Linked DNA regions of Oryctolagus cuniculus. The protein of the gene in region 2 purifies or fractionates together with the protein of the main gene of each other region. This does not show direct contact. Links are inferred from orthologs where the notes say so. Each region holds a gene or a part of one and is shown on either strand. Other genes may lie near its edges.

Evidence for each region.
Region 1: the proteins of U2AF2 (region 2) and SNRPA1 fractionate together in Homo sapiens (co-fractionation; 3 studies listed by BioGRID, with this or other methods). This does not show direct contact. The link is inferred for Oryctolagus cuniculus from reciprocal best matches to the Homo sapiens genes U2AF2 and SNRPA1.
Region 3: the proteins of U2AF2 (region 2) and TRA2B purify together in Homo sapiens (affinity purification with mass spectrometry; 4 studies listed by BioGRID and IntAct, counting the BioPlex papers as one, with this or other methods). This does not show direct contact. The link is inferred for Oryctolagus cuniculus from reciprocal best matches to the Homo sapiens genes U2AF2 and TRA2B.
Region 4: the proteins of U2AF2 (region 2) and SNW1 purify together in Homo sapiens (affinity purification with mass spectrometry; 4 studies listed by BioGRID and IntAct, with this or other methods). This does not show direct contact. The link is inferred for Oryctolagus cuniculus from reciprocal best matches to the Homo sapiens genes U2AF2 and SNW1.
Region 5: the proteins of U2AF2 (region 2) and PSMA4 fractionate together in Homo sapiens (co-fractionation; 3 studies listed by BioGRID, with this or other methods). This does not show direct contact. The link is inferred for Oryctolagus cuniculus from reciprocal best matches to the Homo sapiens genes U2AF2 and PSMA4.
Region 6: the proteins of U2AF2 (region 2) and SF3B2 purify together in Homo sapiens (affinity purification with mass spectrometry; 3 studies listed by BioGRID and IntAct, counting the BioPlex papers as one, with this or other methods). This does not show direct contact. The link is inferred for Oryctolagus cuniculus from reciprocal best matches to the Homo sapiens genes U2AF2 and SF3B2.
Region 7: the proteins of U2AF2 (region 2) and ACIN1 purify together in Homo sapiens (affinity purification with mass spectrometry; 3 studies listed by BioGRID and IntAct, counting the BioPlex papers as one, with this or other methods). This does not show direct contact. The link is inferred for Oryctolagus cuniculus from reciprocal best matches to the Homo sapiens genes U2AF2 and ACIN1.

What each region holds. Positions count from the first base shown.
Region 1 is NC_091443.1:10,490,476-10,494,521, reverse strand, and holds the start of SNRPA1 (U2 small nuclear ribonucleoprotein A'), read left to right. Parts: upstream 1-1,246; 5' UTR 1,247-1,321; coding exon 1,322-1,403; intron 1,404-3,245; coding exon 3,246-3,393; intron 3,394-4,046. UniProt on the Homo sapiens protein: Involved in pre-mRNA splicing as component of the spliceosome. Associated with sn-RNP U2, where it contributes to the binding of stem loop IV of U2 snRNA.
Region 2 is NC_091449.1:3,333,362-3,336,861, reverse strand, and holds part of U2AF2 (splicing factor U2AF 65 kDa subunit), read left to right. Parts: intron 1-319; coding exon 320-364; intron 365-1,281; coding exon 1,282-1,385; intron 1,386-1,533; coding exon 1,534-1,685; intron 1,686-2,868; coding exon 2,869-2,985; intron 2,986-3,500. UniProt on the Homo sapiens protein: Plays a role in pre-mRNA splicing and 3'-end processing. By recruiting PRPF19 and the PRP19C/Prp19 complex/NTC/Nineteen complex to the RNA polymerase II C-terminal domain (CTD), and thereby pre-mRNA, may couple transcription to splicing.
Region 3 is NC_091435.1:95,591,738-95,594,479, reverse strand, and holds the end of TRA2B (transformer-2 protein homolog beta), read left to right. Parts: intron 1-143; coding exon 144-203; intron 204-712; coding exon 713-786; intron 787-1,243; coding exon 1,244-1,254; 3' UTR 1,255-2,242; downstream 2,243-2,742. UniProt on the Homo sapiens protein: Sequence-specific RNA-binding protein which participates in the control of pre-mRNA splicing. Can either activate or suppress exon inclusion. Acts additively with RBMX to promote exon 7 inclusion of the survival motor neuron SMN2.
Region 4 is NC_091451.1:23,450,505-23,454,652, reverse strand, and holds the start of SNW1 (SNW domain-containing protein 1), read left to right. Parts: upstream 1-1,348; 5' UTR 1,349-1,462; coding exon 1,463-1,476; intron 1,477-4,148. UniProt on the Homo sapiens protein: Involved in pre-mRNA splicing as component of the spliceosome. As a component of the minor spliceosome, involved in the splicing of U12-type introns in pre-mRNAs.
Region 5 is NC_091443.1:106,298,628-106,300,911, reverse strand, and holds the end of PSMA4 (proteasome subunit alpha type-4), read right to left. Parts: intron 1,651-2,284; coding exon 1,527-1,650; intron 909-1,526; coding exon 754-908; 3' UTR 501-753; downstream 1-500. UniProt on the Homo sapiens protein: Component of the 20S core proteasome complex involved in the proteolytic degradation of most intracellular proteins. This complex plays numerous essential roles within the cell by associating with different regulatory particles.
Region 6 is NC_091432.1:5,766,885-5,771,046, forward strand, and holds the start of SF3B2 (splicing factor 3B subunit 2), read right to left. Parts: upstream 2,801-4,162; 5' UTR 2,735-2,800; coding exon 2,602-2,734; intron 2,485-2,601; coding exon 2,438-2,484; intron 2,325-2,437; coding exon 2,247-2,324; intron 821-2,246; coding exon 581-820; intron 414-580; coding exon 363-413; intron 1-362. UniProt on the Homo sapiens protein: Component of the 17S U2 SnRNP complex of the spliceosome, a large ribonucleoprotein complex that removes introns from transcribed pre-mRNAs.
Region 7 is NC_091443.1:51,920,717-51,924,968, reverse strand, and holds the start of ACIN1 (apoptotic chromatin condensation inducer in the nucleus), read right to left. Parts: upstream 2,801-4,252; coding exon 2,621-2,800; intron 2,573-2,620; exon of another isoform or gene 2,135-2,572; coding exon of another isoform or gene 2,039-2,134; intron 1,228-2,038; coding exon 1,162-1,227; intron 1-1,161.

The DNA.
Region 1 (4,046 bases), on a different chromosome or scaffold from region 2:
GCCTGCCAAAGAGGGTCCACTGTCACCACTGCTCCATGCCGTGCTGCAGGTCCCAGCCAGTGTGAACAGGGATCCAAAAAGAAAAAGCCAAAGAAAGAGCAAGTAAAATACAAGGGGCTGGCTGTGTCCCGTGGGTTTCACTGCCGCCTGCATCCCATGTGGGCTCTGGTTGGAGTCCCAGCTGCTCCACTTCCGATCCAGCTCCCTGCTAACGCACCTGGGAGAGCAGCAGAGGATGGGCCAAGAGCTTGTTCCCTGCACCAGTGGGGGAGTCCTGGAAGAAGCTCCTGGCTCCTGGCTCGGGCCTGGGCCATCCCCAGCCGTTCTGGCCATTTGGGGAGTGAATCAGTGGATGGAAGATTCTCTCCTTCTCTGTCTCTCCCTTTCAAATAAATAAATCTTAACAAAACGAACAAAAAGATAGGGTCTGGCACTGTGGCGTAGCAGGTAGAGCCGCTGTCTGAAGCCCCGGCTGCTCCACTTCCGACCCAGCTCTCTGCTCTGGCCTGGGAAAGCAGTGGAAGATGGCCCAGTGCCTGGGCCCCTGCACCCGCGTGGGAGACCTGGATGGAGCTCCTGGCTCCGATGGGACCAGCCCCAGCCGTTGCCGACACTTGGGGAGTGACCCAGTGGATGGGAGGTCTCATGCTGTCTCGGTGACTCTCTCAAATAAATAAATCTTTTTATATATATAAAAAAAAGTTAGTTAAAAATGGAATTTCTGTAAATGGCCTTTACAGTACCATCCAAAAAACTACAAATATCTAGAGCTGCAGGCGCGGGCCGAGCCTGCGGGGAGAGGGCGGCGGCGGCCACGCGCGTCACGGGGCAGGCTGCAGGACGCACGCTTCCAGTCTCTCAAGGTCGGGAGACCCCCGCGGGCCTACCGCAACCCCACCAGACCCGGGCTTGACTCCCGGGGCCGGCCCCGCCGGCGCCAAGCGGCCACGCACACCCTCGCTCCCACTGCGCGATGCCCTAGTGTGAGAGAGGTCCGCGGGGCTCTTCCCCCGGTTTTCCTAACTTTCGGACCCAGACGTCTAGAAGCGGGGCCCCCCACCCCCACCCCACCCCACCCGACCCGACTCCAGAAAGCCCCGGGCGGAGAACCCCGCGCCCGGCCCGTCCCCAACGCCAGCACGGAGCGCCGGCCGAGACGACCTCCCGGGGAGGCGTGGCTCTTCGATTGCTTCGGGCTGGCGGTCGATCTGCGATTGGTGCGGCCTGGCGGCGGCGCGGGGCATGCCGGGACGTGTGCTCCGCGCGCGGCGGCAGCGGCAGGCGGGGGCGGCGGCGGCGCGGGGCGGCTGGCGGCGGCAGCATGGTGAAGCTGACGGCGGAGCTGATCGAGCAGGCGGCGCAGTACACCAACGCCGTGCGGGACCGCGAGCTGGACCTCCGCGGTGAGTGCGGGGGGCGCGCGCCGCGGCCTCGCGGCCGTCCCGCCGGCGGAGCCTCGAGCTGGCTTCCGGCCCGGCGCGTAGCGTCGCGCGGGCCTCGCGGGCGGGAAGGCGGCCCCGGCGGGCGGGAAGGCGGCCCCGGCGGGCGGGAGCTGCTGGGCTGGGATCCGGGCGGGAGGAGGCGGGGCCCCGATGGTTTCTCACCCGATCGTTCCCTTCCGGGAAGCGGCCTTGAGGTGGAGCCGTCTCGCCGAGCCTGGGCGCGTGGGGCGCTCTAGAGGCGTCGGCCCGGACTCGGCTTCCCGGGGATGGGGGCCGGGCTCGGCTTCCCGGGGATGGGGGCCGGGCTCTGGGGGCGTCGGCCCGGACTCGGCTTCCCGGGGATGGGGGGCGGGGGCCCCGGACTCGACTTCCCGGGGATGAGGTCGGGCTCTGGGGGCGTCGGCCTAGACTCTGCTTCCCGGGGATGGGGGCCGGGCTCGGTTTCCCGGGGCGGGGCCGGGCTCTGGGGGCGGGGGCCCCGGACTCGGCTTCCCGGGGATGGGGGGCGGGGGCCCCGGACTCGGCTTCCCGGGGATGGGAGGCGGGGGCCTCAGACTCGGCTTCCCGGGGATGGGAGGCGGGGGCCGGGCTCTGGGGGCGGGGGCTCCGGGCTCTGGGGGCGGGGGCCCGGACTCTGCTTCCCGGGGATGGGGGCCGGGCTCTGGGGGCGGGGGCTCCGGGCTCGGCTTCCCGGGCTCTGGGGGCGTCGGCCCGGACTCGGCTTCCCGGGGATGGGAGGCGGGGGCCGGGCTCTGGGGACGGGGGCCCCGGACTCGGCTTCCAGGGGATGGGGGCCGGGCTCTGGGGGCGGGGGCCCCGGACTCGGCTTCCCGGGGATGGGAGGCGGGGGCCGGGCTCTGGGGGCGGGGGCCCCGGACTCGGCTTCCCGGGGATGGGGGGCGGGGGCCCCGGACTCGGCTTCCCGGGGGTGAGACTGCGGCGCTGGCCGGAGGTTGCCCGCGGGCGCCCGTTGGCTGTGCTCGCGGCCTGGACTCCCCGCTGACCTTCGGGGGAAGCCCCGGAGCTGCTATTTTGTAGCGAAAGGCTCGGTCCGAGAGCAAGCCGCCCCTTGGGCCGCTCCCAGGTCTGGTGGGCGCGCCGTGCTGAGCAGCTCTGGATTGGAAACGGCCTGGCCGCGGCCCTTCCCTCCTCCGCTGGGCACCGAGCGCAGCAGTAGGCCCCGGTTAGAGCGGTGGGCTTTCGGGCGAATTGTTCACAGGGCGTCGCCTTCAGGTCTGGATTGGCGCTGGGGAGGTGAAATAAAGGGCTGTGGTGACGGCATGAGCGCGTCCCGGGAGCCTAAGGGCTGTAGTGGCGTCATGAGGGTGTCCGGAGAGCCTGTGGACTCTGGTGACGTCATGAGCGTCCCGGGGAGCCTGTAGACTGGTGACGTCATGAGCGTCCCCGGGAGCATGTGGGCTCTGGTGGCGTCATGAGCGTCCCCGGGAGCATGTGGACTGTGGTGACGTCACGAGCGTGTCCGGGGAGCCTGTGGGAGAGGTTGGGGACCGTTGACAGTAGGGCCTGGGCCTACTGCAGCGGAAGGCGAACCGTTGGGCGGCCCCGCCAGCGTTCTTCGGAGCCTCGTCAGGCGCCCCTCACGCACGTCCTTGCCGTCAGCCTCGCGCGTCCGCAGCTGGAGCCGAGCCTCGCGGCGCCGGGGACTCGAGACCGCCCGCTCTCGTGTGCGGTGGGTGCGCGCAGTGTTCCTCACTGGCAGGTGTGGGTGCTGGACACCGCCGGCGGCCCGAGGGCCCTTCGGGTCCTGTTCATGCCTCTCCCGCCCCGCCCTTCTGTCCGCAGGGTATAAAATTCCTGTCATTGAAAACCTGGGTGCTACCTTGGACCAGTTTGATGCTATCGATTTTTCCGACAATGAGATCAGGAAGCTGGATGGGTTTCCTCTGCTGAGAAGACTGAAAACGTTGTTGGTGAACAACAACAGGATATGGTGAGTGCGCCGGAACAGCGTGGCCTTTTCTCCGCTGCTCGCTCCTGAGAAGCTGTAGTGAGGCCGGGTAGACCTACTTGATTCCAGGGTTCTGCGGGCACCTCCTGCAGCAGGAGGCCTGGCCAGCCGGAGCTGGGAGCTGGAGCCGGCCGGATGGCTGCTGTGGGTGCGTGCGCTGTCACCAGCCCCTGGGGCCTGCAGCAGCAGCAGAGCTGGCATTGGCGCCACAGCTGGGCGTTTAACCCGGGCGCTCGAGTGTGGAGCGCAGTGTCTAACTGCCTGGCTCACACCTGTGAGCCAGTCTTCTTCGAATGAGAGATGGGGTGCAGCTTTCCAGGGATCCAGGGGTTACTTTGACATTGGCCTAGGCGTATTTGCATATGTTCAGAAATATTTACATATTCATAATTTCTAATTAAAAGTGTGCTGTTTTGTACATGTTTTGGCTTCTAAAATAGTTATCAAAGGGATTGTATAAAAAGCTTTATAAAGCTCAGTAATTGTGTTTTTATCACATGTCTACCTCCTGCCTTCTGCTTTACTTTTCTTCAGTTAAACTGGTTTCTAGAAGATTTGCTGAAATTGGGATCGTTTTAGCCCTTAAGCTCTGTGTAAATTTTATTGGAAAAAATTTATTGGCTACTTGTAGAGAA
Region 2 (3,500 bases):
CTCCCCTCCTCGCAGTGGGGCACTGTCTGCAGCCTCGGCTCCCGGGCTCCCTCCAGGGATTCTGCTTTCCCGCGCCCCCCCCCCCCCCCCCCCGCCCAGTGCCTGCAGGGACACTGGTCTGCCCTGGCCCGCCTCCTCCTCTCCTAATCCTGGTCTGGGAGTTGGCGGGGGGAGATGGCAGGGCCGAGGGGGCTGCTTGCCGCTTGTTCTCCTCGGCCCTGCCCCAGCCTTGGGACTCAGTGAGCTGGGGGGGAGTGGCCTGTGGGGCAGTCGAGGGTCCCCAGTCACCCCTCCCCTACCTTTCCCTCCCACCCCCCAGCAAACCTTTGACCAGAGGCGCTAAAGAGGACCACGGTGGATTGATGTGAGCGTCTCTCCTGCCCCTGTGCCCCCGCGTCTACACCTTTCCCTCCCTCACTGCTGTGTGCCTCTCCCTGCCGTGTCCACACCTTCCCCTCCCTCACTGCTGTCCACACCTTGCCCTCCCCCTGCCCGCATCCACACCTTCCCCTCCCTCACTGCTGTCCACACCTTGCCCTCCCCCTGCCCGCATCCACACCTTCCCCTCGCTCACTGCTGTGTGCCTCTCCACTGCCCTCGTGTACACCTTCCCTTCCCCCTGCCCACGTCCACACCTTCCCCTCCTCCTGCCCGCGTCTACACCTTCCTCCTCACTGCTGTGTGGCTCTCCCCTGCCGTGTCCACACCTTCCTCTCCCTCACTGCTCTGTGCCTCTCCCTGCCCGTGTCCACACCTTCCCCTCTCGCTGCCCACGTCCACACCTTCCCTTCCCTCACTGCTGTGTGGCTCTCCCTGCTGTGTCTACACCTTCCTCTCCCCCTGCCCACGTCCACACCTTCCCCTCCCTCACTGCTGTGTGCCTCTCTGTGCCACGTCTACACCTTCCCCTCCCCCCTCCCATGTCCACACCTTCCCTCCTCCCTGCCCGTGTCCACATCTTCTTCTCTTGCCTGTGTCCACACCTTCCCCTCCCTCACTGCTGTGTGCCTCTCCCCACCCATGTCCACACCTTCCCCTCCTCCCACCCACGTCCACACCTTCCCTCCTCCCACCCGTGTCCACACCTCCCCCCTCCTCCGTGCCCGTGTCCAGCCCTGGCCCCCGCTCTGCCTTCAAACCAGCACCCCTCCCTAGGCCTGGGTCCAGATCCCCTCTCCTGGGGAGAGTGGAGTTCGTGGGGGGTGGCCTCTGCGGAGCCTGGGAGGGGCCCTGCGGCTGTGGGTCAGACTGAGGTTGGCCGCCCGCTCTCCCCGCCCCCAGTCGCTCCCCCCGCCATGAGAAGAAGAAGAAGGTGCGTAAATACTGGGACGTGCCTCCCCCTGGCTTCGAGCACATCACCCCAATGCAGTACAAGGCCATGCAAGGTAGGCCCGCTGGCCGCGCCTGGGGGGCTGCAGGAGGGCACCCGAAGTGCCCGTGGGGGTGGGGGTCTCCAGCTGAGTGTGTGGTGGGTGGTGCCCGAGCTCCGCGCCAGGCTTTCCTGACGCCTCGTCTTGTGCCGTCTCCTCCAAGCTGCGGGTCAGATTCCAGCCACTGCCCTCCTCCCCACCATGACCCCGGATGGTCTGGCCGTGACTCCGACGCCGGTGCCCGTGGTTGGGAGCCAGATGACGAGGCAGGCCCGGCGCCTCTACGTGGGCAACATCCCCTTCGGCATCACTGAGGTACTGCCCCTTCTGCCCTCCCTCTCCCCCGCCCCTCCCCTCCCCCGTTCCCTTCCCCCAACCTGCACGGGTCAGACTCTGCTCCTGCGAGACCCCCCCGGCCCCCTCCCAGACGGACGGATGGAGTTGAGCCAGCCAGGGGCCGGGCTGGGGGTGGCCCCTCCCTCCCTCCTCCTCCCTCTCCCGTCTCCCCTCCCACACCCTCCTCCAGCACACAGCTAACGTACCTACACATCACACGTACGTGTCGGAGAGAGACAGAGAGGGAGACTCGACACAGGCACACGCAGACACACGCAGACGCACGCCCGTCTTCTCTGACACGCCTCTCCTTCTGTGCCGCTGTCCCAGCCTTTCCCACAGCCCTCCCTCCCTCCCATGGTCGCTGCTCTGTTTTGATGCCCTGACCTCCTCCCTGCCACCTTCCCCGCCGCTCCTGTCCCCCGACCCTCCCCACCCCTTCCCGTGGCACCCCCTGAGAATCCCGAGATCAAAGAGTTGTTTCCATTTCTCTTTAAAGTGAAATATTGTGGGGCTGAGATCCCTCGTAGCAACAAAAAGTTTGCTACCATCGTCGAAGGCAAGTAAGGTCCATTCTGACTTTCTCAACCTGCACTTTGCTACATTTGATAAACCAGCCCCCGGACTCCAGGGCCAGGTCCCTCCGCATCACTCTTTTCTCCTCCCCTCCCGCCCCTCCTCCCGCCCCGCCCCCACCTCTGGATCTCCTCGCTCTGCTCTGTCCTGGTCGCCCTGCCCGCCCCTGTGGCCTCTCTCTCTCTCGGTTCCTGCTCCTGCCTGTCCTCATCTGCTCCGTCGTGTCCTGGGTCCTCTCCTCCCACATGCTGTCTCCTCCCCTGCCCGTCTGACGCCTGCTGTCGTCTCCCCGATGGCCTGGGGCCCCCGTGGCTCCCTCCCAACCTCCGTCCTGTCGGCCGCATCGACCCATCTCCCGCCCTGTGCCGCCTCTCGCTGCTGCCTCCCTGTCTTCTCTCACCTTCCTCTTGCTTTTGGCCCTTTCGCCCCCTACTCCCCATATTTCACTGTCCCCTCCCCCTCCCCTCCCTCACCCCTCATCCCTCCCCCTTACCCCCAAACCCCTCTGTGTCTCCCTCTCTCACCCTTCCCCTCCTCTCTCCACCTCCCTTCCCCCGCCCCCCCCTGTCTCCTATTCCCTCTGCAGGAGGCCATGATGGATTTCTTCAACGCCCAGATGCGCCTGGGGGGGCTGACGCAGGCTCCTGGGAACCCTGTGTTGGCTGTGCAGATTAACCAAGACAAGAACTTTGCTTTTCTGGAGGTGAGCGGGCCAGTGCTGGGGTCGGGCATGTGCAGTCCGTCCTTGTCCCTCGGCTGCTCTGGTGTGCTCTGAGAACCCAAACCTGCCTCCAGCCCGCCCTCTGCTGGCGTGTGGCCCAGGCACCTGTCCAGACCCCTGGACCTGTTCCTGAAGACGCTGTGCTCCTGCCTCGCGCGGCTGGGCTGGGCCGGCTCCCTCGGGTTGACCGGCGGTGCTCCCAGACCGACTGCTGTGGACCGTGGGTTGGGGTCGGAGCCCTGGTCTTGCCGGACGCCGTGAAGGCACAGAAGCGGGCTTGTGGCCGTAGAGGCTGCTGAGCGGTGCGCTCGCGCTCTGTGCTTGTCTCAGGGGCTGTCTGCTCGGCGCCTGCGTAGTGGCGCTCCCCTGGGACCTTCTGCACCGAGCCCTCTTCCCTTGCCGTGCCTGTGGGTGTCTGGGGCGCTGGTGTCTTCGCTCCCTAGAACACTGGGCCCTGGAGGCAGGATGTGGCCGGCACGGGACGTGGCACATGGGGT
Region 3 (2,742 bases), on a different chromosome or scaffold from region 2:
ATCTCCCCTCTCTCAAATAAATAAAACTTTTTTTTAAGTTATATTCAAGTTTTGCTTTGTGGATATTTTTATTTTAAAGCAAGACTTGTATATTCGTCCTAAAAGTCAGTAAACTAAATGTGTGTTTCTTTTCTGTCTTCCAGAGGTGGTGGTGGAGGAGGAGGCGGATGGAGAGCTGCTCAAGATAGAGATCAAATTTATAGGTATGCCAGGAAAGGATTTATAATTGGTCAACAGTAGAAACTTTGAATAAAGATGTACGCTTAGTAATGGTTTTATAGTTAAGGCATAAGTGGCCTCACACAAATTTGGATTGCTTGGATGTAAAGCCAGATGACAATATAATGGAGTTTGTGGATCTGCAGAAATAATATGGTTTATAGACAGAATTACTCAGTGGTATCATTTTATTGAAGCACTAGTGAAATTTGTTTTAGGTGTTAGAAAATTAGTTTCTTCTAACATTATTTCACAGAATTTAAAAGGAAAGCATATTGATTGGTCAAGTAAAGAATTGATTATTGGATCTCTGATAGTGAAACGGATGCATTATTATAATGTGCTTTATTCTCAACTTACAAGGACCTTGAAATCTCCTACTTATGAGAAATATTTGAAAATTCATGAGGACCTCTTCATTTTGGTAGGGTGTTACTGTCACTTGTCAGTGTGATCTATGGAGACTTAGGCAGTCTTGACTTTTTTTTTACAGAAGGCGGTCACCTTCTCCTTACTATAGTCGTGGAGGATACAGATCACGTTCCAGATCACGATCCTACTCACCTCGTAAGTTTTTTTATCTTAGGATTTTTTTATACAGCCAAGTTACTTCCTTATGCAGATAATGGGTTGATTTGGGTTATTTATATGTTATGAACACACATCCTAAATGTTGCTAGGACTCAAAGTTTATAAAAACAACCCTTAAGACTTACTGTTTTCTCTCACTGTCAGTAGCTTTCCTTTTAGAAATCCTTGAAAATTTTGGACAACTTTGGGATACTTGGGTGATTTAAAACTGTTGTTCTCAGGTTATGATCTACTTAACCCAGCCATTTCTGTTTAACACTTGAATGTTTAATTTCTGTTGTTAACACCGTTCCGAGAATCTTCATTTTCAAAGAGGGGCTATGCTGGTACATAGGAACGTGCTAATGGTGAGGTAGTCTCAGTTCTCAGCATTAAGTACATTTGCTATTCTGATTCCTTGGCATTGAAGCATGTTTGTTTATTTTCTTCCCAGGTCGCTATTGAAGCATGAAGTTGAACACTCTGAAATCTGCCCTAGAGCTGGGATGTTGTTTGTGGACAATATTTTTTATTGTCTCCTGTTTAAAAAGTGAACAGTGCCTAGTGAAGTTAGGTGACTTTTACACCTTTTATGATGACTACTTTTGGTGGAGTTGAAATGCTGTTTTCATTCTGCATTTGTGTAGTTTGGTGCTTTGTTCAAAGTTAAGTGTTTTCAGAGAAGTATGTTTTGCATGTATTTTTTTACAGTCTAAATTTTGACTGCTGAGAAGTTTTTATTGTACAAAACTTCATTTAAAAGGTTTTTCTACTGAATCCAGGGTATTCTGAAGATCGAAGCCTGTGTGTAAAATGTTACCAAATGGCAAAAAGCAACAATAAACAGTTTGGTTTTTACTTTTCTTTCTAACATATCAATGCTTAGCAGAAAGTTCAGATTAAGTTGTCAGTAGTGAATTTAAAGACAAAAATGCCCGTTATTTCTCCAGTCCATGAAACATACCATACTTATTATACCTGCAAGTAAGTGTTAAAAATTACGCTCTGTAACTCTGTACTGCTAGTATTAGAACTAAAACTTTGAATACAGCAAACGCTTGATGCTTATATAAATGTGGATTTGTCAGCCTTTATGTAACCTGTATTATATATAGCAGGGAATAAGAAAAGAGTTACACAATGTATGCCTTTAAAAGGCTTTTTCTTAAAGCTGTTACAAGGGGATAATGGTATTTCAACTAGTTATCAGCAAGTAACAATACATTCCACCACAAATGTACTCTTGTTCTAGCTTTTAGACCATATGAAAAAACTGGGTGCTTCAAAGTACGGGATAAGAGAAGGGAACACTACACCTGTGTCGTGGATAAACTGAAGACTTTGCCTGTTCATTTTTTAAATATTATTTTCAGGTCCTTTGCTTACCAAAGGAGACCCAATTTCACTCAAATGTTTTGAGAACTGTGTTTAAATAAACGGAAATGAAAGAAAATTTGCTGGTGCTACTCAATGTTCAAAAAAAAAAAGTTTTAATCTTGTAATTAGACTTCTAAATCTTAGTTTGTAATACAGTGTGTCCATTGGGCTGAGAAGTGTTAATATTCCAGGAAAACTTAATGGATAGCTAGATCTGGCATGATCATCTCCATTTGAGGATAGGATTGCATTTACAGAAAACTCCAGCCTTCACACATACCCTGAAATACCTGTTCGTACAAAAACTCAGGTACTTTTAAAAAGCACTGTACATACTATTTCATTTAATCCTTGGCAATCCATGATGTATAGAGTACTTTACCTAGGACTGAACATCTTTCATTTGAAAGAGTGGTGGAGGGAGAGGTAGAAAGTTCTTTCAGCCACTGGTTCATACCCCAAATGCTTGCAATAACCAGGAACCAAGAACTCTATCCCGGTCTCTCAGGTCAGTGTCAGGGGCCCAAGGATTTGGGCCATCTCCCACTGTGTTCCCAGGCACATTAGCAGGAGATT
Region 4 (4,148 bases), on a different chromosome or scaffold from region 2:
GTCTCCAGTTCGAGTCTGGCTGCTCCACTTCCAATCCAGCTCTCTGCTATGGCCTGAGAAAGCGGTGGAAAATGGCTCAAGTCCTTGGGCCCCTGCATCTGCGTGGAAGACTGGGAAGAAGATCCTAGTTCCTGGCTTTGGATCTGCGCAGCTGCAGCCATTGCGGCCAACTGGGGAGTGAACCAGTGGATGGAAGACCTCTCTTTCTCTGCCTCTGCCTCTCTGTAACTCTGCCTTTTAAATAAATAAAACCTTAAAAAAAAAACTAAAAGCTAATCAAAACTAAAAGCTAATTAAATCTTTTTTTGAAAAAATAATCTATTTTTTATTTGAAAGGCAGAATTACAGAGAGAGATGGAAAGACAGAGAGGGAGGTCTTCCACCTGCTGGTTTACTCCCCAAATGGCCATAACAGCTGGGGCTGGGCCGATCCAAAGCCAGGAGCTTCTTCTAGGTCTCCCACGTAGGTGCAGAGTCCCAAGCACTTGGGCCAAACTCCGCTGCTTTCCCAGGTGCATTAGCAGGGAGCTGGATTGGAAATGGAGCAGCTGGGACTTGAACCGGCATTGCCTGTACTGCAGGTGGCAGCTTAACCCACTATGCCACAGTGCTGAACCCTGATTAGATCTTCAAACTAAATCTGTCACAGTTTTGACTTTTGACAGGTCTTTGTTCAGAAGCTCAGTCCAAATGAATGGCCTCCTATAAATCTTACTGAATATATTAAATCATATATATATAATGTATGTAGGTATATACATATATATTTATACACATAAGGAATATTCTCAAAGTGACTTGCTAAAGAACACAAAAATACAGTGGGTCTTCAAGAGGTTCATGGAAAATGTATATTATTATAAAAAAAACTGTCTAAATTTCAATTTTTTTTGGTGCATAAAATAACTATATTTTAATTCCCTTTTTTTCTACCAACGGTTTGAACTATCCCAGTTAAATCCCCAGGAGTGTTTGGGGAAGAAAGGGTACTGGTTCAAGAACAGTTTTCTGATTGTGAATGTTCTCAGAGCGTCCAAGAACGCTCCGGTCTCACGATTTCCTACCGTTTCAGAAACCCCATTGTCCTCCACTCAACTTGCTTCGGGCAGCCTCTTATACTTAGACACCTCTTCTAGGTGAATGGGTCTGAGCGGGGGAATAAAATAAAGGCGTTTAAAATGCCTCTCCCCCCACCCTCGTTATTTAGCCAAGGAAATGTCCTGTCATGTGACAGTAAACGAGTAATCAAGTTAGCCATTTACTCTTGACTTCAGGGGCCGTCCTGTAAAACCCCACGGGTCAGAAGAGACCCGAATTGTACTCACGTTTAAACAACTACAAGTCCCAGAAGGCTTTTCGGCGGCGGCGCCTGCGCATCGCGGGTTCTGCCCTCTTCGCTCCTGGTTGCCGGGAAAGACCCGCCCCGCGGCGCTGTCGCTCGCGTTAGAAGAAGCGGAAGAAGATGGCGCTCACCAGGTGGGTTGTTGATTTGGGTCCTTGATACGGAAGGGTCTGGTAGTGCCCCTCTTTTTCATGTCTCTGCCCCGTCGTCTCCAGCCAGGGATCTGGCTTAGGACACAGGAAGAAGAGAGCCGAGAGCTTGGCGAGGGCCTCCCGCCGGTCGCCGCGGCGGCTAGGCCTCCCCGACGCTGGGGTCTTTCCTGAGCGGCCTTGGGTTGAATTCGGCCCCTGGGCAAGGCCGAAACCCTCGGCGGGACCGCAGAAGCTGGAGAGCGGCACGTGTTTTCCGCTGAAGCCCCTTGCGGGTGTGTGGAGCGCGCGCCCTGGGGTCGGCGGCTCCGCGGGACGCGATGGCACCGTGGGGAGCGGGGCTTGCCTACGCGGGCGGAGGGAAGCGCGCGGGACGCGACTGCGCGACGCTCCGGCCGTTGTTCGCTTCTGGCTCTCTCCTTTTCTCTATCCACTCTGTCGCCCCGAACAAAGCTTCCCGAAAAGGGGGATCCGGAACTGATCGGGGAGTCTTCAGTTAGCCACAGTGGGGGCCGCTGTGTCCCCATAGGCGCCAGCGCTCCGCACTTTTAACTTTGAACCTTAGAATTTCTTCGGTGAAATCGAACCACCTTGGAGCGCTGCTGTGCCCGGTTGCCTTGGTAACCAAAGGCCAAGCGCTCCCTTCCTTTAGGAGAAAAAGATGCTCTAAGCGGGAGCTTCCGAGAAGTTACATAATTCCCTATGCGTGACCTGGCTGCCCGGTCTAAGTAGGCAAACTTTCCCCGCGAACTCATCTGGAAAAGTCGAGTGTGAAAAAATGGGCTGCAAAGGAAGCTGTCATTTTAGGGCGTGAGCTTGAGCTCCCTGACCATGCTTGGTTCTCCTCAAGCGTCTTCAGCCAGGCCGATGACACTGAATTTAAAAAAAAAAATTTACGCGACCATTCTTTTGGGAATGACGTTGAGTGCCTTGCTGTATTCAGGCGTTACGTATCCAGGAGATCTGTCTTTAGCTGCAACGCAGATGGGGCCCAAGGCATACAACTATCAAAGTGCTCATTTACATAGATGATAGTCTTAGTGCAAAAAGCAATTAGATGAAGAGAACTGCGTGGATCAAAGAGTTTGCTTTAGAAACTGTTACAGGTAGGTGCGAGGCATTGTGACATAGACAAGTAGGGTCAAGAGAAAAAGTTAGAATTTGAAGTGGATATGCAGGGAAAATACCAGGGATGTTGAGGGTATTGTGTGCTTAAAATCGCAATGGCAGAATGCAGTCTTTAAGTGGCCAGTCTTAGCAACTGTGTTGCTTTTCATATGCTATTTGTATACTTTTAATGTCCTCTATAATAAATCGGTAAACGTTTCCCTGAGTTTTGTGAGCTGGCCTAGCCAGTTGAACTCAAGGAGGGAGTTGTGGAACCCCAGTTTATACCTCGTGGGTGAGGAGTATACCCTGAGCACACTTGAAATTGGTATCTGAAGTGTGGCAGTCTTGCAAGACAGCCCTCAGGATCTGTCAGAATTGAATTGAATTGGACATTACCTGAATGTCTGGAAACTCCCCCCACATCTGGTGTCAGAAGTGTTGGGTGTGTTGTATTGGTTGATGAGTGAGAAACTTTTTCCTATACTTTTGCATTCCTATCTGTGCAGAGCTTGCCTTCTGGTTATATGAGTGAAACAAATCAATAATGCCATTTCAGGTACCAGGTACTGGGAAGACAGTAAAGGGTTGGAGGGTGACTCCAAGTTTGGAATCAAGTGGCTTTTTTGGACAAGGTGGTCACAACTTTAGGAAGGTGTAATTAGTTGAGCAAAGAGATGCGCTGCTAAATGCAGGCTGCTAAAAAGTTGGGGAAGAGTTTGCTGTAAAGGAAAATTGCTTTTAGTAAGTAAATAGACTATGTCATGGTAGAAGGAATAGCAAAGGTAAAGCTCCTGCAATGTCTTTTTAGGGAAAGATGACACGACTGTAGGGACATCAGGATGATGAGTGCGAAGTATCGAGTGAGCTATTTTCTATCTTTAAGGAGCCCCTGTTAGCTGGACAGTTACTGGGAAGTTGGGATGAAAGAAGTTAAATCCGTGGGCCCTGCCTCAAAGTTTGTGATGGTGCTGTGTGAGGATAGATGACTGCACTGCAGTGAGGTGGATATTTCTAGTGATGAAACACAGAGATACACAGAAAGTCTTTTTTTTTTGCCAGGCAGAGATAGAGTGAGAGAGAGACAGAGTTATAGACAGTGAGTGAGAGAGAGAGTTATAGACAGTGAGAGAGACAGAGAGAAAGGTCTTCCTTCCATTGGTTCACCCCCAAATGGCTGCTATGGCCGGCGCATCGCGCTGATCCGAAGCCAGGAGCCAGGTGCTTCCTCCTGGTCTCCCATGCGGGTGCAGGGCCCAAGCACTTGCGACATCCTCCACTGCCTTTCCGGGCCACAGCAGAGAACTGGACTGGAAGAGGAGCAACCGGGACAGAATCCGGCTCCCCAGCTGGGACTAGAACCTGGTGTGCTAGCGCCGCAGACGCAGGATTAGCCTAGTGAGCTGTGGTGCCGGCACACAGAAAGTCTTATGGGAACAGAGGTAGAGATAGCTAACCCAGACTGAAGAAATCATGCAACAGACAGGATGCCAGCTGGTTCAGGAATTTTTTCATTTAATACTTATAAGGTTGATAACTTTCATGATCTA
Region 5 (2,284 bases), on a different chromosome or scaffold from region 2:
ATTCAAATGCAACAAAACATTTCTCAAACTTCCACCTGCATAATCCCCACCTGCACAGAGCACTGCTCCGCCCTGTTTGGTTCAGCAGGGCTGAGGACGTCCGATTCGTACTCCTGCCACACCCCAGGAGATGCCGACGCTGTCCGTCGCTTCTGTTACCACTTCTATCATGACACCACCTGCTCCAGGACGGAGCTCCCTCCGGTCAAACAGACCCCTTCTCGGCTGGTTTCCACGTCCTCCCACGTCCTCCCCGCGGCTGCGGCTGCTGACTGCGGCGCCCCCGCCCCGGCCCCGGCCCCGGCATCTACGGCCTCCTGTCCCACACCTGCGCATCGGCTCTGCCTTTGTCCGCCTCTGACCCATCCCTGGACAGACGGGCCATCTCGTGGCCTGCGGGAAGGCAGTGTAGACCACAGGGGGCTAAGGCACGGGAAGCAACAGCCCAGCAGCCCTGGCACTCTTCCCAACAACTGCGATACAACGTTCCCGTCACCATCTCCATTCTTTCCAAGTTTTATTCCAAAAAAGGGTGTATGTGGGGGTAAAGATGTCCGTGAAGAGTAATCACCATCCTCACAATACGGTAATGGATTGGATCGGCTGGGACGGCCAAGGACCGGGTCGGCGTCGCACATCCGCGGTCCCCGCGGCAGTTAAAAACAGTCCGCGTCTTCTCGGCGTGGGAGGAAGAGCCCGCCCACCCGCCCGCCCCTTCTCGGCGTGGAGGAAGAGCCTGCCCGGCCGCCTCTCCTATTTATCCTTCTCCTTCTGCTCTTTCTCCTTCTTCTCTCGCTCGGCTTTGGCCTCCTCTTCCTCGTGCTTCTTGATCAGCTGCTCCACCTCCTTCTGTTTGAGCACTCGGATGACCGTCTTTCCGTTCTCTCTCGTGAGCGTGGCAATCTCCACTACAAACAGACACATCTGCGTTAGGGGCAGGCACGCTCGGCAGGCAGGCGTGACAGCCACGCTCAGGGACCGGCCCCGCGGCCGCCGAGCCTGGCTCCCTCTGCCCAGGCCTCCTGCTCGCGGTGGCTCATGGGTACTCTGCTCTGATGGCCACTGTCACTGGATTATGTTTTACAGTCACACAACTGAGGGTCAATAAAAGGGTCTGGAGTTGCTAAGTGGGCTTCACACAAGACATCGCAGCCCACACGTCCTGGAGAGAGCGCCACCAGTCTCCCGCCCACGTGCACGTGACGACGCGCACACGCAGAGACCACGTGAGCAGTGACAACACTGTCAGCGAAGGCAACACAGCGCAGGCTCCCCCAGCCGGGAGTTCTGAGGACAATCAGGCTCAGGCTCCGCACACCCGGGACGCAGCGTGGGCCCGTGGCTCCCCCACCTATCAGTGCCGACTCTGGTCGAGCCGCTGCACTTCCCCACGCCCCAGGGCTCTCACTGAGCCAGCAGGGAAAGGCCACCTGACGCCGGGCCAGCGTTCCAGGAAGGAGTCGGCGGTCAGCCGACGCAGCAGCTGCTCCCACCAAGCCCGCGCTCAGGGAGCACACAGCGGTCACCTTTCTCAGCGGACAGCTTGCTGACATCCATGGTCTTGTTGAGCACTTTGATGGCTAAAGCGAGCGCCGACTTCAAGGTCATCTCCCCCTCCTTGTAGTCTTGTTTCAACATTGACACAGCTGCCTGTAAAACAGAGCCACTTTTTAGTGTTTGCATTTTGTCTACCAGAAAATGCCGGAACTTCTATTAGCAGTGCACCCGGGTGAAGATTCTGAGGGCAGGGCAGGTGGCCGGGGGTGCTGGGGAGAGCGGGCCACGGGTGCTCGCCACTGGGGCCCGCGCCTGGGATCTGCTGTCTCCCAGGGGTGTGCCAAAGAATCCAGAGTGTAAAACTAACAGGAAAAATTACACCTACACTTCTACAACTTCTAACAGAAAACCACCTTTAATTACAAATGCAGCCAACAAACCCCACTATATTACGAGGACCGATGAGTGTCACTAACAGAAAGGAAAGGCATCGTCCTACCACATTAAGGTGGCTGGAGCGCTCAGGTTTGAGTCCCAGATCCTCTTTTTTTTTGACAGGCAGAGTGGACAGTGAGAGAGAGACAGACAGAAAGGTCTTCCTTTGCCGTTGGTTCACCCTCCAATGGCCGCCGCGGCCAGCGCGCTGCGGCCGGCGCACCGCGCTGATCCGATGGCAGCAGCCAGGAGCTTCTCCTGGTCTCCCATGGGGTGCAGGGCCCAAGTACTTGGGCCATCCTCCACTGCACTCCCGGGCCACAGCAGAGAGCTGGCCTGGAAGAGGGGCAAC
Region 6 (4,162 bases), on a different chromosome or scaffold from region 2:
TTCCAAGGCACCTAAGGGGACGTCGTGTGGACTAGTGGTGGACCAGTGGGCATCAGCCTCCACGGGCTGTTGTGAGGACTTTGCTAGACATTCTTGATTTGGGCTTTTCTTACAACAACCCTTTACAAATAGGAAAAAAATTTTCAGCTCACAGCTCAGACAGACACAGGCCACAGGTTGTGGTTTGCCAACCTGTGGGCTGAGGAACAACGGAATTCTTCAAGAGATGCTGGAATTTAGCTGGGGATGAGGCAGCCTCCAAAGAAAACGCGAACGGTGCCTCTCGTCCTGCACACTAAGCACGGTTAAGTGACAGCCAAGGCCTGGACCGTGAGGTCAAAGGTCAGGAAGGGGGGCATTACCCGCTTCTGCTGCTCCAAGAGCTCGTGCTCCTTCAGTGAATGATCTCCCTGCTTAAGAGAGAAAACAAGCTCACACCAGCACAACTCCCCACGGCCCGCCTGCCCCAGCTCTGCCGCCAGCCTGCGGCCTGGTTCTGCCTCTGGTCCCGGCGCCAACTCCCCGAGCCCACTCTCTCCGCAGGGACCCACGAGGCCAGGCCCAGGCTCCCCCGCCCTACCTGCTTGGCGCGCTCCTCTTGCTGCATCAGCAGTGCCGCCTGCTGCTGCGCCAGCTTCAGCCGCTCTTCTTCCGACAGCGCCACCGGCTCACCCACGCGGAGAGGAGGCGGGGGCCCCAAATTTGGTGGGTGGGCCATGGGAAAGCCAAGGCCAAGGCCTGGTGGGGGTGGAGGGGGGGGTGGAGGGGGCTGCAGAGGAGGGAGCCCCATGGGTGGCGGTGGCATGGGAATCCCAGAGAGCTGTGGAGAAAATGCGATCGTGAGCCAGGAGGCATTCGCCCACGCCCTCTGCCAGCATCCGCTGGGAGCCTGCTCTGAGCCAGGCACTGGGATTCCAAGTCAGACGAGATCCTGGGGTCGGTGCTGGGACACAGTGGGCTAAGCCTCCGCCTGTGATGCCAGCAGCCCGTATGGGTGCAGGCTCGTGGGGAGTGAACCAGCGGATGGAAGACCTTTCTCTCGGTCTCTGTCTATAAACCTTCCTCTCAAATAAATAAGTAAAAAAATATTCAAAATCAAGGAAAAAGACAGAGACGTGATTTCTTGCTCTGTAAGAGACTGCTCTGTGCACTGGAAGAGAACGGGAAGTTCTCTGGGATACCATCCAAAGAAAGCTACCGACTGTCTCCACGGAAAAATACCACGAACACAGCTGCTCCACACGACTCCAGGACACTTGAGGGACCAGCGCTGGACACAGCGGGTTAAGCCAGCGTCTGCAGTGCCGGCATCCCCTACAGGAGCTGGTTTGAGCACTGGCTGCTCCACTTCCGATCCAGCTCCCTCTAGTGCTCCTGGGAAAGCAGTGGAGGATGGCCCAAGTGCTTGGGCCCCTGCACCCACGTGGGAGACCCAGAGGAAGCTCCTGGCTCCTGGCTTCAGCCTGGCCCAGCCCCAGTCACTGCAGTTATTTGTGGAGTGAACCAGCGGATGGAAGACCTCCGTCTCTCTAACTCTGCCTTCCAAGTAGATAAATAAACCTTTTAAAAAGAGACACTTTTAAAAAGAGCCACGGCTCACTAGGCTAATCCTCCACCTGCAGCAACGGCACCCCGGGTTCTAGTCCTGGTCGGGGCGCCGGATTCTGTCCCGGTTGCCCCTCTTCCAGGCCAGCTCTCTGCTGTGGCCAGGGAGGGCAGTGGAGGATGGCCCAGGTGCTTGGGCCCTGCACCCCATGGGAGACCAGGAGAAGCACCTGGCTCCTGCCATCGGATCAGCGCGGTGTGCCGGCCGCGGCGGCCATTGGAGGGTGAACCAACGGCAAAGGAAGACCTTTCTCTCTGTCTCTCTCTCACTGTCCACTCTGCCTGTCAAAAAAAAGAAAGAGCGAGACAAAGGCCGCTGAAGGAGTGCAGAGCCATGGGTCAGAGGCACTCTCTGGAGGAAAAGCATCAAATCCTGCATAAGTGACGGACGGGAGACAACCGGCGTGCCAGGCGCTGCGAGCTCTGCAGAGTCCACCCGCGCGTTCAGTCTCGCACAGCGACACGGCAGCACGCGGGGCGGGCCAAGAGGTCGACACGGCAGCACGCGGGGCGGGCCGCATTCAAGCGGAACCCCCGGGGCCAGAACTCGAAGGCGCGGACGCCGGGAAGCGGGCCGGACCCGGAGCTCCCACCTCCGCACGGCAGCCCGACGCAGGCGAGAGAAGGGGGCGCCCCCTTACCTGTGCCGACATGGGAGGGGGCGCGGCTTTGTCCCCATCTTCCCCTCTCAAGACCGGCCGGTTCAGCACGATGCCCGTCTGCGAGAGAGAGAGCGAGGCTCCAGGGCGGCCCACCAGGGAGCCAGAGACTCCTCCGCGCCGGGGCCGGCCACCACGACGCCGGGCGGGCCCCCTCGGCCGCCGGCACTCACCTGGCGCGTGTAGCTCTGCAGCCGCTCCACCAGCTCCTCGCGACTCCCTGCGGGCGAGGCTCGGGTCAGCGGCGCGGGCCCGCCCCCGCCCCCAGTCTCCCGGGTAACCGGGCTCCGCGTCTCCACGGACCCTCGGTGCCCTCCCGGCCCCTCCAAGCCCTCACCCTGGATCGGAGCGCCTATCTCTGCCAACTTGGCCTGGAGCTCCTGGGCAGCCCAGGCGCCATAGTGCCCGGGAGGCGGCGGCGGCGGCAACTGCAATTCGCCTTTGGGAGGCTCGGGATGCTCGGCCGCCATCTTGGCCACAGGAAGGCGCGCGACCAGCCCGGAAGCTCCGGCCGCCCTCGGGGCCTACTTCCCGGAACTTCCGGCAGCGCCGCACGCCACGTCCTCTCGGCGGCGGAGGGAGCTCGGCTTGTCACGTGACTCGCCGGCCGGCCGCCGAGCCTTCTGGGAGTCGTAGTACTGAGGCCGCCGAGCCTTCTGGGAGTCGTAGTACACTGAGGCCGCGGCTCCGACGCGGAGCGCAGACCTGGGCTGCGGCGCCCGGAGCGGGGCCGCGCGGGCGGCGAGTCCCGGCCCCAGGGAGTGCTTTCTGCGTCTCGCCCGCCCGAGCGCAGGCTTCCAGCCTCTGGCTCGACTCCCGGGCCAAGCGTGAGAGGCCTGAGTGCCTGCGTTCCCAGGGGGTCCCGAGGGACTCGCTCCGCGGCGGGAGCGGAAGGTCGGGCCGATTGTCTGCCCGGGCCCGCACGGACGGAGTGGAGCGCTCGCTGCCACCCAAGCCCCTTTCACATCTTCCAGGCCCGCCCTCTCCGGCTTTCCTGGAGTTCTCGTAATGCGTTCAAATCTGCTCCATCTTGTTCAAGTCTTGGTCTTTGCACTTACATCCGCCTGAAAAAGACGAGTCGGGGCTTGATCCAACGGCTGCAGCCCCTGGCGTGCAAGGGGCGCCCAATAAAGGTGACCGGAAGAGCGGATCTTCAGCGACATCACTTGTTATCTTTTTTGGTCTTGGTCAGCCCCACTCCGCTGGCATCCCCTGCCGAGCTCACGGAGAGGCGAGCAGGGGACCCTGCCTGCCCAGCTTCCACGTTTGACTGCGCTGCCCCATCGGCTGCATTTCACTTTCCACCTGTGCCACCAGCTCTGCGTCTCCAGGGCCTGTGTGAGTCCTTGTGCTGAGTGACAGGAAGACTCACGAAAGGGTCTCACCACACGCGCGCACACACACACACCCTCAGATCCTTTCTCCACCCAGCTGCATTTAACTGTCCTCAGTGAGAAATACCTGGGAGCCGGGAGCACAGCCCAGAAGGTGAGGGTTGGGGGCAGAGCAAAGCACCGGGCCGGGGGAGCCTGGCTCACACCCCTCCCTCCCACCCACTAGGTCACCAGCCCACGGCTCCTGCTGCCAGTCCCAGGGAAGTCACAACAGCACAGGGAAAAAAAAAAAAAAAAGCGGTGCCCTTCTCTCTGGCACATCAGCCCACTCAGGCAGAACCCCTCCCGGCCTGAGGGAAGGTTCTTTCTGCTCCCTGTAACCGGAGAGCCCACCGGGGCAGGTCGGCTGAGGCTGCAGGCACGGAGCCACGTGCCTCCACTGTCGGGAAGGGGGATCTCTGGGCAGGAGAGGAAGGGCTGCTGGTGACAGAGCGGGGGCCGGGGGACACACCAAGGCGGCCTGGTTTTACCCCAACAGCCCCGGGATGCAGAGAGGAGGGGCGG
Region 7 (4,252 bases), on a different chromosome or scaffold from region 2:
ACTTTCCAGATTATTGTATTTCCTAAGCATATTAACTGCTTGTTTTCACCTATGGTAGAAATGGGTCTCTGGGTACTCAATGGACAGTGAAGAGGCACAGGTTACATGTTTTAGAGAATATGCAAGTTTGCTGTAAATCATGAACTGATTAACTTATGCAGTCCCTTATCCTTGTTAAAGTACACAGCTAAACCTCTGAACATTGGTTAGATTATACTAACAGCTTAATAAGGTGATAACAAGGGAACAGGAAGGCTCTCTTGTTCTCCACAGTATCCTGGGACTTCATCTGGTAATGTTTCTGCACATCACTGCATTAATAAAGACCTGGGTTTTTTCCCTAAGAGCATGGCACACTATACTGAGGAGATTCTAAAACGTAAAAGGAACCTTAGGAGATTGTGCAGGCTAAGAAACGTTTTTAACTGCAAAATGATTTCTTAAAAAGAAATCTCATGCAGAACTCATGAAGTAGATAACATATCTAATCTAGTTTAAGAGGGAGTAGGAATCTTGCTTACTTGGAAAGAAGGTATCTATCTTTCCTAGGAAGCCCCCCAAAGCCCAGCTGAGCAGTTATAAAACTATGGATCTAGTTCAACATCTTCTCATTACAGATAAGGAAACTGAGGAAACCAAGGCCTCCAAAACCTGTTTCTTGTTTGAAGTAACAGAGCTATTAGTGATGTTTAAATGTAATCACACAGAGTTGGCAGATAACACTAATAATAGTGCATGATTTACAAAAGATTGCATTCTTGGTGGAAAAAAAGCTGTCAAAGAATTCCTGATGAGCAAGTATTTTCCCACACTGCCCTATTGGTGAGCTACTTCGTATCTCCACTCAAAAACATCAACGACTTTTCCCAAATCAACGGCAAATAAATGACTTCTAGTTCTCAGTGACACTTAATCAGAGTGACATTTTTCTGCGAGGATCAGGAATTAACTAACAGTTCCTTTGATTCTATTCTTTACAGGTCCTTGTGCAAAACTGGGCTTGGCTAGAACTCAACTGTCCTAGTACGAGAACATTTCCAACCAAGGGACCTTAGAAAAATATTGGTAAGGACTTAAGCATCAAATGTAGAACACTATGGCCCTCCTTCCATGTGTCTGTACCTCCAAACAAGCCCACTCCAGCTACCAAACCTTTCTTACCTGGGAATTTGGCTGGAATGCAGCATGGGGTGTTGAGTGTTTCTGTAAATTTTCTAGCATTAGAGCCTGGTATGGAGAAGTGCAAAAGTCAGAAACCAGGTGAAAACAACAACACAAAACCGCTACCCCTCCCACAACCTCTTCATTTAATGTGATGCCTTAAATACACACTTAAACTGCGCTCCTTTTCCAGGAACCTAAAAGCTCTTTACCAATACTGTTCTCATTCATCCTCAGAAGCCCTTCAAAGGTAGCCATGGTTACTGCTCCTAAATGCACAGATGTAAAATGCAGGCCCACAGACTCAGAGATCTGGCCATGTCATAAAAATCAGTGACAGTGACAGAAGCAATACTACAATCCTTATTACCCTCTGCACATTTGGTGCCTCTTCTAAATCTAGCAGTGCAGGTAAAAATGACTTCAAATGCTCAACACCAGCTTCAAATACATGAAACCAACACCGGGTGCTCGGTTTGGCTTAACTGAGTTACTTGGTCAAACTGTTGCCCAAGACTAGATCTACTTGAATGAACCTGTATAATTTCTGGCAGAGACACTGAGACTTATCAAATTTATAAAACCTGTCAAAGAGGCCACATGAGAAAATGAATACAGACCCTGAAAATTGTGCTTTGCCCTAATCCACACCCCCCACACAAAACGGCCAGCTTCTGGATAAGCAATGGTCTGCCAATTCAACCCTCGGGCCAACCCAGCCCGACTCTGTACTACCTGCCACGTATCCTAATCAACTCTAATTAAAAGCGACACATCCTCCCCTTCCTCCGTTCACACCAAGCCCATACACACCACTTCGTCCAGCTCAAGACAAACCCACCCTAACCTGCTCAAGCCGATCCAATGTAAACCTCACCTCTCCCACCAAACTCTTATCCACCCAAATTGCTTCTGGATTCCCTGCAGACACCACTGTCTCACCACGTCCCTTCAAATCAAGGCTTCTCTTCATCTCACCTCCCTATCTACCAGGGCAGACATTTTATCCTACCCCAACCCTGCTCCAGCAGATCCCGGGATCAACCCCATCCTCCCCTCCACCCAACTATACCCCTAACTCCGACCCAACCCAACTCGCCCCCGTCAGGCCAGCAACGCCGGTGGTTGTAGTGGGATTTAACTCCTTCTGCAGCGCATGCGCCGAAACCACAGACACAAACAAGGAGGGGGTGGGGGAAGGAGGAAGGAGCTTAAGACACTCCGGGAGAGTAGCGCGCACCCTCCCATTTTGGGCTCGCGCTGCTGCCGTTAAGGCGGGAACGGGCGCGATCTCCGTTCCAGCTCGAGCCTCACCAACCACCGTGCGCGCGGGGTTGGAAGCTCGCGCTGGCGGCCTGAGAGCTCGCGCCGAGCCCGGACACTGCGCCTGCGCCGCGGCAGAGACTCGTCTCTACCGGGTCCGCTCCCCTCCGACACCCCGGGATCACCGACTCCTCACCCCTTTGAGCCGCTTGACCAGGGCACTCTTCTGCCCGCTCTTGGCTAGGCCTCGCTGCTCCAGTGCGGCCTTCAGGTCGGTCACCCGCAGCGCCTGAAGAGGCTTCCCGTCCAGAGTCACCTCCTCCAGCTCCGCCATCTTGCGTGAGGTACTCGGGTCCGTCCCGACGGCTTCGGGCATCTTCGGTAATTTCCGCCAACGCCCTTCGAACGTACCGACCTGGCCCCGCCCATTACCATAGTCTACGCCTCGATTACCACTCAGAACTCCCCGAGTCTTTCCGGAACTGCTCGGGTGTTTCCGCCTTCACATCGCCGCCAATTGGTTCTTTCCGTTAGTCCTGCCGCTACCCCTCCCTCGGCTTGCTTTCAGGCTCGGTTATCTCCGTCTTGCCGAAGCTTTCAATCGAATGTATTCGGAAGCCCTCGACGCTAGCATAACCGTAATCGGAGATACTCGGCTATCTCCGGACCTGGAGCCGGGGCGCTGAGGCGCTTGGGTGTTTGGGGTTGGTCCCGTACCGGAAGTGCGTGGGCTGCCCGGCTGGCCCTATTCAGGATTTTCAGGAAACATGGAAGCCGCGGCGGTAGCCAGCGTCTAAGGACTCGTGTGACTATCTCCGGGGAGCCTTTGCAAGGAAACAGGAGGTAAGCTAGGCAGAGGTCTCTCTCTCGGCCGGGTTAGACTGCGTGTTTGCGGGCAATTTTAGTGGGAAAAGCCTCGCTTCTTTACGGAAGCGGCTGCCGCCCCCAACCCCCTGAGTCCCTGCCACTCTGGCGAAAGGGTACGTTACTGTTTTGGGGCATCGGAATCGCGGGCTCCCGTGGCCTCAAGACAGTATTGTGTCTTTCGACCCAGACTCTGAACGGATTCCTCCTGAGACTGAACTTGAGCTTGCCGTGGAAGCCGTGTGGCCAGACTCATGAAATGTTCTCCCTTTCCCGGAATGATAATAAAAAGTTGTTTTCGGAGGAACTACTTGTGGGGCCACTGGGATAAAGGCAAACGCCCGGAATTGTTTTGGCGTTGGAATTGATGTGAATTACGTAGAGGTTCCTTTCTCTGCCACTGCAAACTTTCCAGCTTGTAGCAGAAGAAATACAAACAGTAAGATTTTCAATAGACAAACAGTTGAAGGTTTTCACTGGTAAGAGTCAAGCTGGGACTGAAAACTAAGATTGGCTGACTTCTCAGTTGCTCTTATGATGCAAAAAAAGTCTAGGCATCAAAGGTATCACACTAAACATTAAGGAAAATTGTTTATAGGATATGAATTGTCATACAACAATACTCCTATGCATAGATTCCAGATTTTTTTTTTTGCGCGCGCGAAAATAAACTTACCTTTTAGTTTCATTTTCCATGGACTTTTTGGTGTGTTCTTGCCTGTTAGATCTCTAAGCCAACAAACCAGCAGGACTGTATTTTCAGGGTCTTGACTAAACACTCGGCTTCTCCTTTCTCATGGTTTTCTTTTTTTGTTAAGTGGGGCAAGACCCTTGGTCTGCTCTTACACTTTTTCCTGGTGCTGTAATTACACAAAGTATGAGGAGGTAACGGATGTTACGAAGTTTTTCTGACATATTTTAGCAGCTGTGCATGCTTTGCAAAGAAGGCTCTTTTGTTATATAT